Arabidopsis thaliana: one gene and its partner. The protein of the gene in region 2 interacts with the protein of the main gene of each other region in a biochemical or structural test. Each region holds a gene or a part of one and is shown on either strand. Other genes may lie near its edges.

Evidence for each region. Proteins that work in one complex are often made in the same cells at the same time.
Region 1: the proteins of CAT2 (region 2) and AT3G54360 form a complex in vitro, tested with the Arabidopsis thaliana proteins (one study listed by BioGRID).

Annotation. Positions count from the first base shown.
Region 1 is NC_003074.8:20,127,589-20,133,777, forward strand, and holds AT3G54360 (zinc ion binding protein), read right to left. Parts: upstream 4,326-6,189; 5' UTR 4,174-4,325; intron 4,014-4,173; 5' UTR 3,994-4,013; coding exon 3,605-3,993; intron 3,518-3,604; coding exon 3,283-3,517; intron 3,164-3,282; coding exon 3,018-3,163; intron 2,384-3,017; coding exon 2,296-2,383; intron 2,215-2,295; coding exon 2,068-2,214; intron 1,296-2,067; coding exon 1,146-1,295; intron 1,045-1,145; coding exon 982-1,044; 3' UTR 966-981; exon of another isoform or gene 705-965; 3' UTR 539-704; downstream 1-538. Other genes in the region: AT3G54363 (uncharacterized protein), read right to left, coding at 4,651-4,947. UniProt on the Arabidopsis thaliana protein: Has holdase chaperone activity that may fold catalase to a functional structure. Not required for the peroxisome import of catalases. Required for the activity of catalases and acts mainly at the post-transcriptional level.
Region 2 is NC_003075.7:16,699,784-16,705,164, forward strand, and holds CAT2 (catalase 2), read right to left. Parts: upstream 3,722-5,381; 5' UTR 3,433-3,721; coding exon 3,418-3,432; exon of another isoform or gene 3,173-3,417; coding exon of another isoform or gene 3,158-3,172; coding exon 3,061-3,157; intron 2,985-3,060; coding exon 2,707-2,984; intron 2,629-2,706; coding exon 1,852-2,628; intron 1,770-1,851; coding exon 1,680-1,769; intron 1,579-1,679; coding exon 1,511-1,578; intron 1,422-1,510; coding exon 1,328-1,421; coding exon of another isoform or gene 1,322-1,327; exon of another isoform or gene 1,214-1,321; coding exon 1,154-1,213; 3' UTR 529-1,153; downstream 1-528. Other genes in the region: AT4G35080 (high-affinity nickel-transport family protein), read left to right, coding at 1-229. UniProt on the Arabidopsis thaliana protein: Catalyzes the degradation of hydrogen peroxide (H(2)O(2)) generated by peroxisomal oxidases to water and oxygen, thereby protecting cells from the toxic effects of hydrogen peroxide.

The DNA of each region.
Region 1 (6,189 bases), on a different chromosome or scaffold from region 2:
ACTCAAGATTTTGCATGATTGCTTGAATCACGATTGATTAGAGGCAAGAATTTTTGTGAATTGATAAAATCAGTACATTGTTTCATAGCAGTTGATGTGAAGTACATTTTTTGGCGGAAAAAATCATTTTTTCATTTTGTTGATTTAAGTATTTTCAAATAGAAGCAAAATAGTCATTAATAATTAAAAGATAATATCAATAAAAATGATTACATGGGAGGATAGTACTAAAAAAACATATTTTTGGAAAAACATTCTTAACAATTTCTCTATATCTAATACGTAAAAACATAGTTTTACATACGAAGTTAAAGATTTAGTTACGTAATTATATGAACAGTTAAAAGACGTGAACATATTAAAGAAAAAAATACTGAAAAAAGCTTTACAAATAGAACGAAGTTGACCTAATTTTGTTGATTATGTAGATTTATTTTCGTAAAAGTGACCTAATTTTGTTGATTCGTGCGTTGGAGTTAGTATATCTTTGTCGTTTGCATAGTATCATCGGCTTTAGGGATTGACTATGTTTATGTTTTTATTTTTGTAAGAGTAGTTACAAGAAAAACTTCATTCAACAAAACAACAAAGACAAATTTTTGTTGTCGCAATTTATACTCTTTGTAGCTGATTGAGTTTGCAAATACTTGCATTTTCCTTTCACATCATCTCTCAATCTCTGTTGGGTTCTTTCTCATTTTGCACTGAAAAGAAATAGAAAGCAGTTCACAGCTGTAGCCGCTTAAGATATCTTAATTTTTAAATTTCACAAGTGCATAGAGTACAATCATGCTTAACAATTTAACATTGCAAGATTAGTGCATTGAAAGTTGAAAACCATCACAATTCACAACATACAGACAACTCTGTTTCTTTGTCCCTTGAGCGCAAATACAACATTTTTGCTTTCTTTATTCAGCAAAATGCCACAGACGAGAACTTAGGTATAATTTCTATATACGTACTTAAGCCTGCATCGGTTTAGAGTGCAGTTTCAGCATCGGTTTCTACTTGCTTCTTAAGGAACTCCAGTACAGAGAGCCGCTGCATGCATGTTAAAATTACATTTGTCAGATAAAGTTTTACTGACATTCAGCAGCTTTGGATAAGATACAAATAAAAAGGGAGTCGTGCAAGAATCTTACCCGTTGCTCGAGAGCAGAATCTTCAGAGTCCAGTTTCAAAGATTCCAGCAGTCTCATGCCTTCCTTGAACCCATCTGTCGCTGCAACTTCATTTTGTAGAGTCCTGTCTATATCCGCAACTTTGGCTAAGGAAACAGCCACATCCAGAATCTACATAAAAAATGTAGAAATAACAAAAGAAATCAATTTCTACTTCCGGACAGACCTTTGCTTACTATATTTGAGTTCCAATTTCTCTAGGCAAGAAATCAAGTATAAAATAAGAAAACAAAGAGAAGATTTCCAACCAACAGAATAACCCAATTACAATGCACGTAAATCTAATTATATGTATCCAAAAGAGAGTAACTTTATCGCAGAGAATTAAATGACACCTCATCCAAGTATGTATACTGCAACGACAACACGTCAGTTACCTAAACCTCAGTTCAACCCAGGCAACAAAATAGCAATTGACTTGAATAAAATCTAGGAAACTATTTAGAGAATTTCTCTGAACATTCATGGTAAAGTAACAAATAAGTAAAATGAAAAGAGTGAACCAAGAAACCCGCTTGAACACATTGAGAACAAGTATACTATTTTCACTTTACATCGTATTTCAGATCCTTTGATCCACTAGCACCTTAAGTTAATCTCTATATCTTTTAATGCATTTGAATTCATTTTGCCTGGACCCAAATGAACACCAAGATGTAACAATCACATAAATAAACGCTTTCTGCCTAGAGAGTGAGAGATTACGATCTACAAAAGAGCCTTCACGAATGCTACAATAAGTCAATAACTTAGCTAACAACAGATATTTTTCTGCGAGACCTTGAAATGTATATGGCGACTAAGAGTAGCCAGTTCAGCTAACCAAACATTGGGACAAAACAAAGAAGAGCAAAAACAGAAAACTGTATGAGGGCACACTTACTTGTGAAGGAGCATTTGGGTGGTGCTTCATTGCATCACGTCTGACATTTAAAGCTCTATCATAATACGACCTTGCAGCTTGTAGATCTTCGTCATAATATTTTAGATCTCCTATTTTATTGAGTGAGACAGAAAGTGTATGTGTAATCTGCAAGTTAAGTTAAAATTGTAAGCAAAAAGGTAAAAAGTTTTCAACATCAAAATTTAACAAGAACCAATGTGCTATAACCTCCAAATCATTCAACGGCAGTTTCATAAGGAATTCAACACTCTCTTCAAAATGCTTGACTGCAGAGCTTGAGTCTCCCATCGCTCGGCTGCAACAACAACAAAAAATAATTTAACCATCAAACTTAAGTCCCGGAAAAAGAAAAAATTCAACACACCAAACAGAAGATCAAACATTTTGGCCAAAATAACACAGTTCAGGAGGAGAAAATGATTATGTATAAAGTAGGTTTTTCGAACCAAGCATGTACTGTTGCTTCTCCTTTCCATTTATTCTGAACGAGGTGATTGAACCACAGAGAAAGATGTATGCAAATGATAAGAGGATACAGAAAAATCTGAATATATGAATATATTTCCAGTCAATTGATGTAGACAGGGTCCATCTAGAAAACCAGAATCTAGTTCAAACGAGAAAGAAATTATTTTAGTATTTCCCAAAGTGCCATGCGCACTCTAAGCAAGATGAAAGCAACAACCAGTCGACTTGAGAAACTATCAATTGAGGAAACTGCCAAGGAAGGGCCACATACTTGAGAAACTCCAAATTAAAAAAAATCAATTTGAACAACAAAGTGGCTCAAGCGGGATCATAAAAGACCACATTGGTGACCACATTCGAAAGCACCGTTGTTTTCATAATCTTAATTGTTCACAGAAACTCGAGAATGGATACATCTTAGAAATAAACAACTTGGGATAAAAAAGAAGACAATATCATACCTACAGTCACCAAGCATGCCAAGGACTGCACCAAGCTGTGAACACAACTCTGGTGTATTGCCCTCCCTCCCTAGTTGATCCCGAATGTCCTCGGTACACATTGCCAACCTTGATTTAGCACTTTCATAATTTTGGGCACTAAATGCCTGCGCATACAAGTTGAATTAGAACAAGATCTCACAGCGGGACATCATAACAAATGTAAGTGGTGCAAAAGAGAATAATCCCATCGGTTAGGTCAACAAAATTTAGAGACAGAACTCACCCTCATAGCTTGTTGCACCAAGAAAGAACCTCTTTCCATGGAAACGTCAGCGTAAATCACTTTTTTGTTATCATTTTCGACCTCTTCTTTTTCTGTTCCATTGACGACAGATCTCTTAATTCTAGCATGGCCTTCAATAAATTGATCAACCATCTTCTGAAGGTTTTCATCAACTTCAATACTTTCAATGTCAGCACCGCATAGAGGGCAGTCCTTAAACCGTGTTAAGCATACTCTGCATTCAAGAAACCACAAAGTATAAGAAAAGTAGACCCAATCATGAGCCAAAAAAGAAATAAGCGGCCGAGCAACTATGGCTTACTTGCAGAACACATGTGTGCAAGGCACACATCTACTGCTCTCATATAGAAGTGCTTGACATAACATACAGCTAAAAGGCCCAAGCTTGAATGTTTGAGAGTCATAGCCAAAAGGGCACTTGGCAGGTACCGTTGCAGAATCAGTAGAGTCCTTATTCAAGTTTCCTTCTTGTTCAGGACATCCTTTACTCCCATTTTCGTCAGGACGAGCAGATTTAGAAAAAGGGCAACCAGAAGCCGTCGTTTCCCCTTGCTTTCGAGCAGAGGCATCGTCGGGACGAGCAGCTTTAGAAAAAGGACAACCAGAAGCGGTAATTTCGCCTTGTTTTCGAGTCGACCCATCGTCAGGACGAGCAGCTTTCGAGAACGGGCAAACAGAAGTCGTCGTCATTCGTGAAGGTAGCAACAACCCTACAACACCTCAAAAGGAAAATTCAAAACCTAAATTACTAAAATTGCTTCCTCAAGATGAAATTCGAAATTGATTCTCTAGCTAAACTATCAACAGCTGGAAATCGAACATAGAAGAAGCTAATTCAGAAGTAGCTCAACAGAGAGAGATGGAAAAAACCTGAATTGGATTGGATTGAGATTAGATTTGGAAATGTCTCTTTCGCTGCTTCTCTGCAATCAATCAATGATCGATTGATAGCTCTCTCTCTTCTTTTTTCTGTTTCCGATAAGTTTTTTTTTTTTTTTTTTTGTGCGTTGGAATTGGATGGTGTTTTGTTTTCTCTCAGTCAAACGAAAAATAGATATTACTAAATGGGCCTGCGGTTTTTGTAGCCTATTTAAGAATTTGGGTCACTAGTCAATTTAAGAAAACCGTTGTTCTGGATTATAAACTGGTTGGATTTTTAATATTAATCAGCTTTTTTTTTTTTTTCACTGAAGGTTTAGTTTTATTAAAATCCACATCACAATGGTTACAACCCATTAATGGCCCAAATGGCTACATCACTTAAAGATAAAATTTTGCTCAATACACGTGTCAAACACAAAGATACGTAGATGAAACGTGTTGCAAGAAAAGCTTGGAAACTTTCCGTCATCCTTCGCCGTTAATTACTCCGACTATTGTAAACACAATCGACGCCGGAAAAAGTTTAAGCATCGTTTTTTGTTGTTGCTTGTCACCGGAGAATGTTGAAACAGCTACAGGCAATCTTAATATGCTGGAAACAAGTCTTCTTTCATTACATTGAACATAATTACCGATGAAGATTTGTTGTAACCAAAGATCTGAAGAACCAGTTTGAGAACATCCAAGAGAAAAAGCAGCAAATCCACCCGATCTGGTCGGATTAGATATCCGCATAACCTCACTGGAAACCACCGGAAACATAAAACAAAACAAAACTCAAGGAGCTAGTTGGAGACCACCGTTGAACGAGAAATTGTTAGGTTGGCACCACCAAACATAGATCAGAGAGATTTTTAAAAGATAAACTAAAGAGGACTAAAAGAAATCGGCATAAAACCGATTCACGGCAGCGATTCACGGCAGATGAAAATACCAAGCCAGCCAAAACCGCTAATGGGAGCCGGATTTACTGGACGAAAGCCGACCATCGCCGCATACTAAGCCGGTGGATGTCGGGCTGAAGCCAATTGAACCAATTGGACGGCCTTATCGGAAAATTGTAACAGACGGTTTTTGATACTACTAATATTAATCAGCTAACATAAGTAAACAATTTTTAATATTCAAAAAAAAAAAAAAAAAAAAAAAAAATATATCCTCTTCCTTCTCTCTTAAAAACAAAAGCACCGCTTCAATTCCGCCGGCGTTGTGAGCCACCACGGTCATGACGTCGGTTTGGCTTTTTGGTTTATGTTCAGTTATGTCTCTTTAAGTTGTGGTTAAGGAGATTTCTGGGTTGGTTTCGATTTCGTTTCCTCCTCAATTTCTCTTATTAGATCTATAGTTTCGATTGGTGATTTTGCAAATTAGCGTGGTTTTCTTCTCTGACTAAATACTCCCTGGCCTAATCACGATCGCTCTATGCCACTCACTGTCGGTGTTGTGGTGATTCGGGTTGGGTGACCTAATTTTGGGTTTCCTCACACAGCTTCAACAATACGGATCTAGGGCGAAATCCGCCCAGATTTTGGGTTCTTTCTACCGGTTCAAGTCGCATAGTCGATATCTCCGGCCACGGCGTTCTCGACGGTCTCTGCATGTTTAGCTGAGTTTCCACCGTCTGCCATCCAAAGTATCCCAAGGTTTTTCTTCTGAAGATTTTTAATTATCAAGTAAGGCAAGAAGATCAAATTTTCTTAAAGTGGGTGTCTCAATCTCCGACGAAATCTCCGATGCCAGTTAATTTTCGATCTTGGTTTATTTGGTTAAAGAGAGAACTATGTTTATGTGTAAAATCATCAATCATGTTTTATTTTGTCTTTCTACGTCGTTTCCCCATGTCGGGGCTTAGTGTCGGGGTTTCATTCCTCGCCGGCTTGTGTACCGGAGGATTATATCCTGCCGGCTTTGTCGTCCCGTAATTCACTCGGGTTTATGTATCTGATATGGTTTGTGCTGATAATAAAATTAGCTTTGTGAAAAAAAAAAAAAAGTAAACAATCA
Region 2 (5,381 bases):
ATTAGCTCTCCCATCACGGTTAGCAGGGTCTGCGTTTTTGATAATGTTTCTGGTTGGGACAGTTATAGCGATGGGAAGTTACACAGCGTTTATTGGGTCTTGCAGTGAGGCTTTGAAAGAGAAAGTTCCAAGGATCACAGAGAAACTAACTTGGGTTTCGTCACTTGTGGCTATTGGTCTTGGATTGGGAATTGTCATCAGCCCTTTCTTTGGTTTTAGCCTCTACTGAGAAAGTAAAAGCTTCTTCAGGTAAATGAGACAAGTTGAAATCTTTGTAGTTCTTATAGAAGAAAGAGAGGTTTTTTTGGGTCCATATCACTCGTATTATTGTCACCTGTACGAACAAAATCTCGTAATCTTGCTTCAGAAACTCCTCTCGGAGAAAACCATTTGGTGATTCTTTTTATTTTCCTTATTTTTAAGAGAAGTTTGGTTTTGGTTCTGAATTATCGATCAACTGCATGTAACCATACTTTGTAATATTATCAAATTTTAACTAAAAAGTCATTCTTGTTTATATCATTTGAACAGTACTTGTCACAAATACAAACCCCAAAATGTCAAAACCAAGTTTATTTTCTAATGTCAGGATGTCAAAGCAGAGTTCAAATCCAAATTGTCAGATTATTCACACCAAATCTAAAGACTCTCGACACCCCACACTTGATACAACGACGTTATACACAAATGTGGCCACTGTTACAACACATATTGACAACTATTGTAAATTCCCTAATACCCACACATAAGAATTTATGGATTTTCTTGTCTTTTTCGTTTCATACTTTGCTATTCCCTTTCGTCCAGAACATGCAGACTAAAAATCACGTCTTTGTCGACAGCTCTTACGGGATTACATTCGTTAATATATGAGAAATATATAAGAATATGTCACAATCTTTCAAGGAAGAAGGAGCTTTCATCAAGTAACACCACGGATTATAAATCTTCAATGTATAATGTATTATTCTGATAAACGAGAGACACAACAACACACAAGGTTCTTTTGGTCTTTAAACAGATACTATTATAACATAGCACAGAAGATCCACATGATGAAGATTGTATTATCGCAACTTTGATCTCTTCCCATTTTCTTTTCTCTGCTAATTAACAACCACAGAAAGGCCAATCAAGAATTCTTTCACTCGTTTTAGATGCTTGGTCTCACGTTCAGACGGCTTGCCAGCTTCTGTCCCAAAGACTTATCAGCCTGTTTCACACATTTTTAACCAATCAGTCAAAAATGTTTAAAACTTGACAACTTTTCAACTGCTGAGACTTGAAGAACGAGACAATGACAGTAACAGAGATCAAGATTTCAGACCTGAGACCAGTAAGAGATCCAGATACTGCGGATTTCATGCGTGATGCGTGGGTCGGATAGGGCATCAATCCATCTCTGGATGAATCGTTCTTGCCTGAAGTTGAAAACATACCGTAAAACGTTAAGAACACAGATGTTCCTTTTATGCATTAAGCATCATTACAAAAATAAAACAATTAGTACCTCTCTGGTGTAAAGGTACGGTATCTCTCTCCAGGCTCCTTGAAGTTGTTCTCTTTCTCAATAATGCACTGAAAAAAAAACAGATTTCGAAACTTTTAGATCATATGTTCTTAAGTGAACCAATCCATGGGAAACAGAAACAGAGAGGAAAACAGAGTTGATTACTGACCCTCTCACGTTTTCCAGAACAGACAGCAGGCGGAGTTGGATACTTCTCAGCATGACGAACCTGGTCATACCTCGACGGGAAGTAGTTAACCTGTAACAACAGCTTCTTGTAAGACTATGGTATTCTAGCTTCAAGTTCGATATAAAGATATTGATAGTGTACTATTAAGTACCTCCTCGTCCCTGTGCATGAAATTCATGAATCCCTCATGGTGGTTGTTGTGGTGAGCACATTTTGGAGCATTGACTGGCAGCTGAAGGTAGTTTGGTCCAAGACGGTGTCTCTGAGTATCGGCATAGGAGAAGACACGGGTTTGAAGCAGCTTATCATCTGAGTAATGTATCCCTGGGACAATAATTGCAGGACAGAAAGCAAGTTGCTCATTCTCTGCAAAGAAGTTGTCAATGTTCTTGTTCAACACCATACGTCCAACAGGTTGAAGAGGCAAGATATCCTCAGGCCAGGTCTTGGTCACATCGAGCGGGTCAAAGTCGAACTTGTCTTCATCAGCAGGATCAATGATTTGGATAAAGAGCTTCCATTCAGGGTAGTTTCCAGCAGCTATAGAGTCATACAAGTCTTGAGTCGCATGACTGTGGTTGGTTCCTCCAACACGAATTGCATCTTCTTCCAAAAGAGACTTGACTCCACAAGTTGGTTTCCAATGGAACTTCACGTAGTGAGCTTTGCCAGCTTTGTTGATCAACATGTATGTATTGACACCTGAACCATCCATGTGCCTGTAATCTTGTGGGATACCGATATCATCGAAGAGGAAAGTGAACATGTTCAAACTTTCAGGGTGGTGGGAGAAGAAGTCAAGGATTCTCCAGTTCTCTTGGATGTGAGATTTTGGGTTCGGCTTAAGAGCGTGGACCATGTCAGGGAACTTCATCCCATCGCGGATGAAGAAAACAGGAAAGTTGTTTCCAACAAGATCAAAGTTCCCCTGCATACAAAGAATGATCATTTGCTTAGTATATAAGTAATTGCTAGCATTCTTAAATGTTACAAACTACTAACTGACCTCTCTGGTGTAGAACTTGACTGCAAAACCACGAGGGTCTCTCAAGGTCTCGGGACTTCCACGCTCATGGATAACGGTGGAGAACCGGACAATGACAGGAGTCTGAACACCGGGAGCTCGGAGAAAGTCAGCACAAGTGAGGTTAGAGATATCATGAGTGACCTCAAAGAAACCTTTAGCACTGGCTCCTCTGGCATGAACCACACGCTCTGGAATCCGTTCCCTGTCGAAATTGGCAAGCTTCTCAACGAGATGGTAATCCTCAAGAAGGATAGGACCTGCCCAAAAAAACAATCAGAAATGCAACAATAACATTGAGGAGAACAGACTTATTCATGGGAGAAGAAGAGGTACCTCTGGGTCCAACGGTCATGGAGGAGTTGTTGTTCCATACAGGAGCACCAGAGTTGGTGGTGAAGAAGGGAGAGTTGTAAGAACTAGCTGGACGATACTGCATCATCATCATCAATTGCAAAGGAAATTAAAATTAACATCAGAGAAAAACCACAATGATTCGAAAGAATCACAAGTCAAAAGGCACATGATCTTAGAGCAATGGAAAGACTTAATTGTATATTTGCAGATTCGAGTAGAAAAAAAGGTCAAAACTTTGGGTGCAATTCCATAAGCTAATAACAACGTTTCAATCCAGTTTATACGGAGAAATTACAAAAGACGAAAAGGTTAGAGAGAAAAGAAAGAAGGGTTTACCTTGTAAGGATCCATGGTTTGATGAGAAGAGAGCTTGGAGAGATTCAGAGATTTTTATCAAAACGAGGAGATGGTACTGATGATGATGAGGCACTATTTTATATTCACTTGCCTTATTTATAAATGGCGTGTGTATTACTGCCTTTTTAGCTTTTTATTTTTTTCTTTATTTTGAGGGGGGAATTTTTAAAGGTTATCGTTTTTTCTTTATTTTAGTTTTTTCATGTGATAAATACTGGAAAGAAAAAAACAAATGTTATATATTGTGGCGAGAAATTCAGGAACGTCAAGTATTATTTATGATCACAGTACCACGAATTGTTTCATATATATTTTTCTTAATCCAACCACCGGTTACCTACTATTTATTCAAATTCAGAAAAAGTAGTTTTAATTTGTTTTATTCGCTCATTTTTATTTTGTTAATTGGATTATAAACTAATCTAAATGAATTAGTGCGACTATCTTTTAATCTCAGACACTCATAGCAAATAACTGTACTTTTGATTTACATCACATTAACAAGTTTAACAAAATCTATTATTATTAGAGAATGTAGAATAATGATTAAAACAAAGTCAACCCTTACAGAATTGAATCTATTCTATGATGTAATAGAAGATGAAATCCATGGCATTGGTTTTTATTTGGTCCTGCCAAATTATATCGTTTTACGTTTTTCTAAAAATTCGTTGAACAAAGCCAACTTACATGTAGTTTTTGATAAACGATTAATTTTGAACCTTATAAACTAACTGGCTGTGGTTTGATAGATCAACATCGTCAATGCGATCCGAATTTAGGTTCCCGAGAACTTAAGATAAGCTGAACCCACGATTGCGATATTGTCATATATATATTCTGTACTTAAAAAAAAAGTTTTTTTTATATGGTAACAAAAGCAAGGAAGAAGGACGACAAAAGAAATAAATATTAGGCAATTCAATGAAAATAAAATAAATGAGGACGTCATTGGGCTGTGGTTCCTTATCCGGTTTTTTTGGCCTTTTAGCAAAACCTTTTTAAGTGGTTTAGTATGGTCTTGGGTGACGTGGCTGCTTTGTTGGATTCCACGTGTGATGAGATAGTGTGAACGCCCCAAGCGGGAAGAATATGCCTTTTGAATTGATTATTTCTTAAGTTTTTGTTTTGCCCCTTGGGAGATGTGACGAGATGAGATTTATCAAGTTCCCAATGGCCCACCTTGGAACCCTCTGGCTCGCTCAGAAGTTCATCTGATCAAGCTGTTGATTTTGGACAATAGAAGAAATTTTTAACACACATATTTCTTCATCCACCACCTATGGCTATGAGTGCTTGTATTTCTTTTAAGAGATGGCATGTGAATTATGGAATATATGGTCGGTTAAGAAAAACATATACATGGTACTGAATTGCCGAATTCTATTGGTTATAAAGAAACCAACAAGTAGTGAACGTACAAGTACAACCACACAGGTTACATGCAACAAAACAAAACTAATGTATCGTACGTTATTAAGACCTTAAAGCCAACGGATTGAAACATGTCGACCATACATAATTAAACATGTGATCTTGTTCCATACGTTCTGAAAAAAAATAAGCAGGCTCAAAAATGTGCTGAAGAAACAATGAGATGATTGAAACCCATTACGAATAGACTTAGCCCAAAAATGCTATCAAAAGAATTGTCGCTAATACATCAAAATGGGCTGAATTATCTGGTCTAGCCCAACTCTTAAAGATATACAACGATTAAGTAGCTAGCTACTACTTCCATTTCCAATGTCAAGGATCAAGAACATATTTTTCTCAGCACGTGTCGTCTTTTTGAAAATTTCAACTAATCTTGATGTAAGTTCCTTCTTGGTTAAAAATAAGAAGGATACACAAAACAAACTCACCTTATGGTTAATTTTTGTTTTTTTAATAATAATTAGACCAAAATCCATAAACGAATATAGCTGGTGTTTGCAACCAGC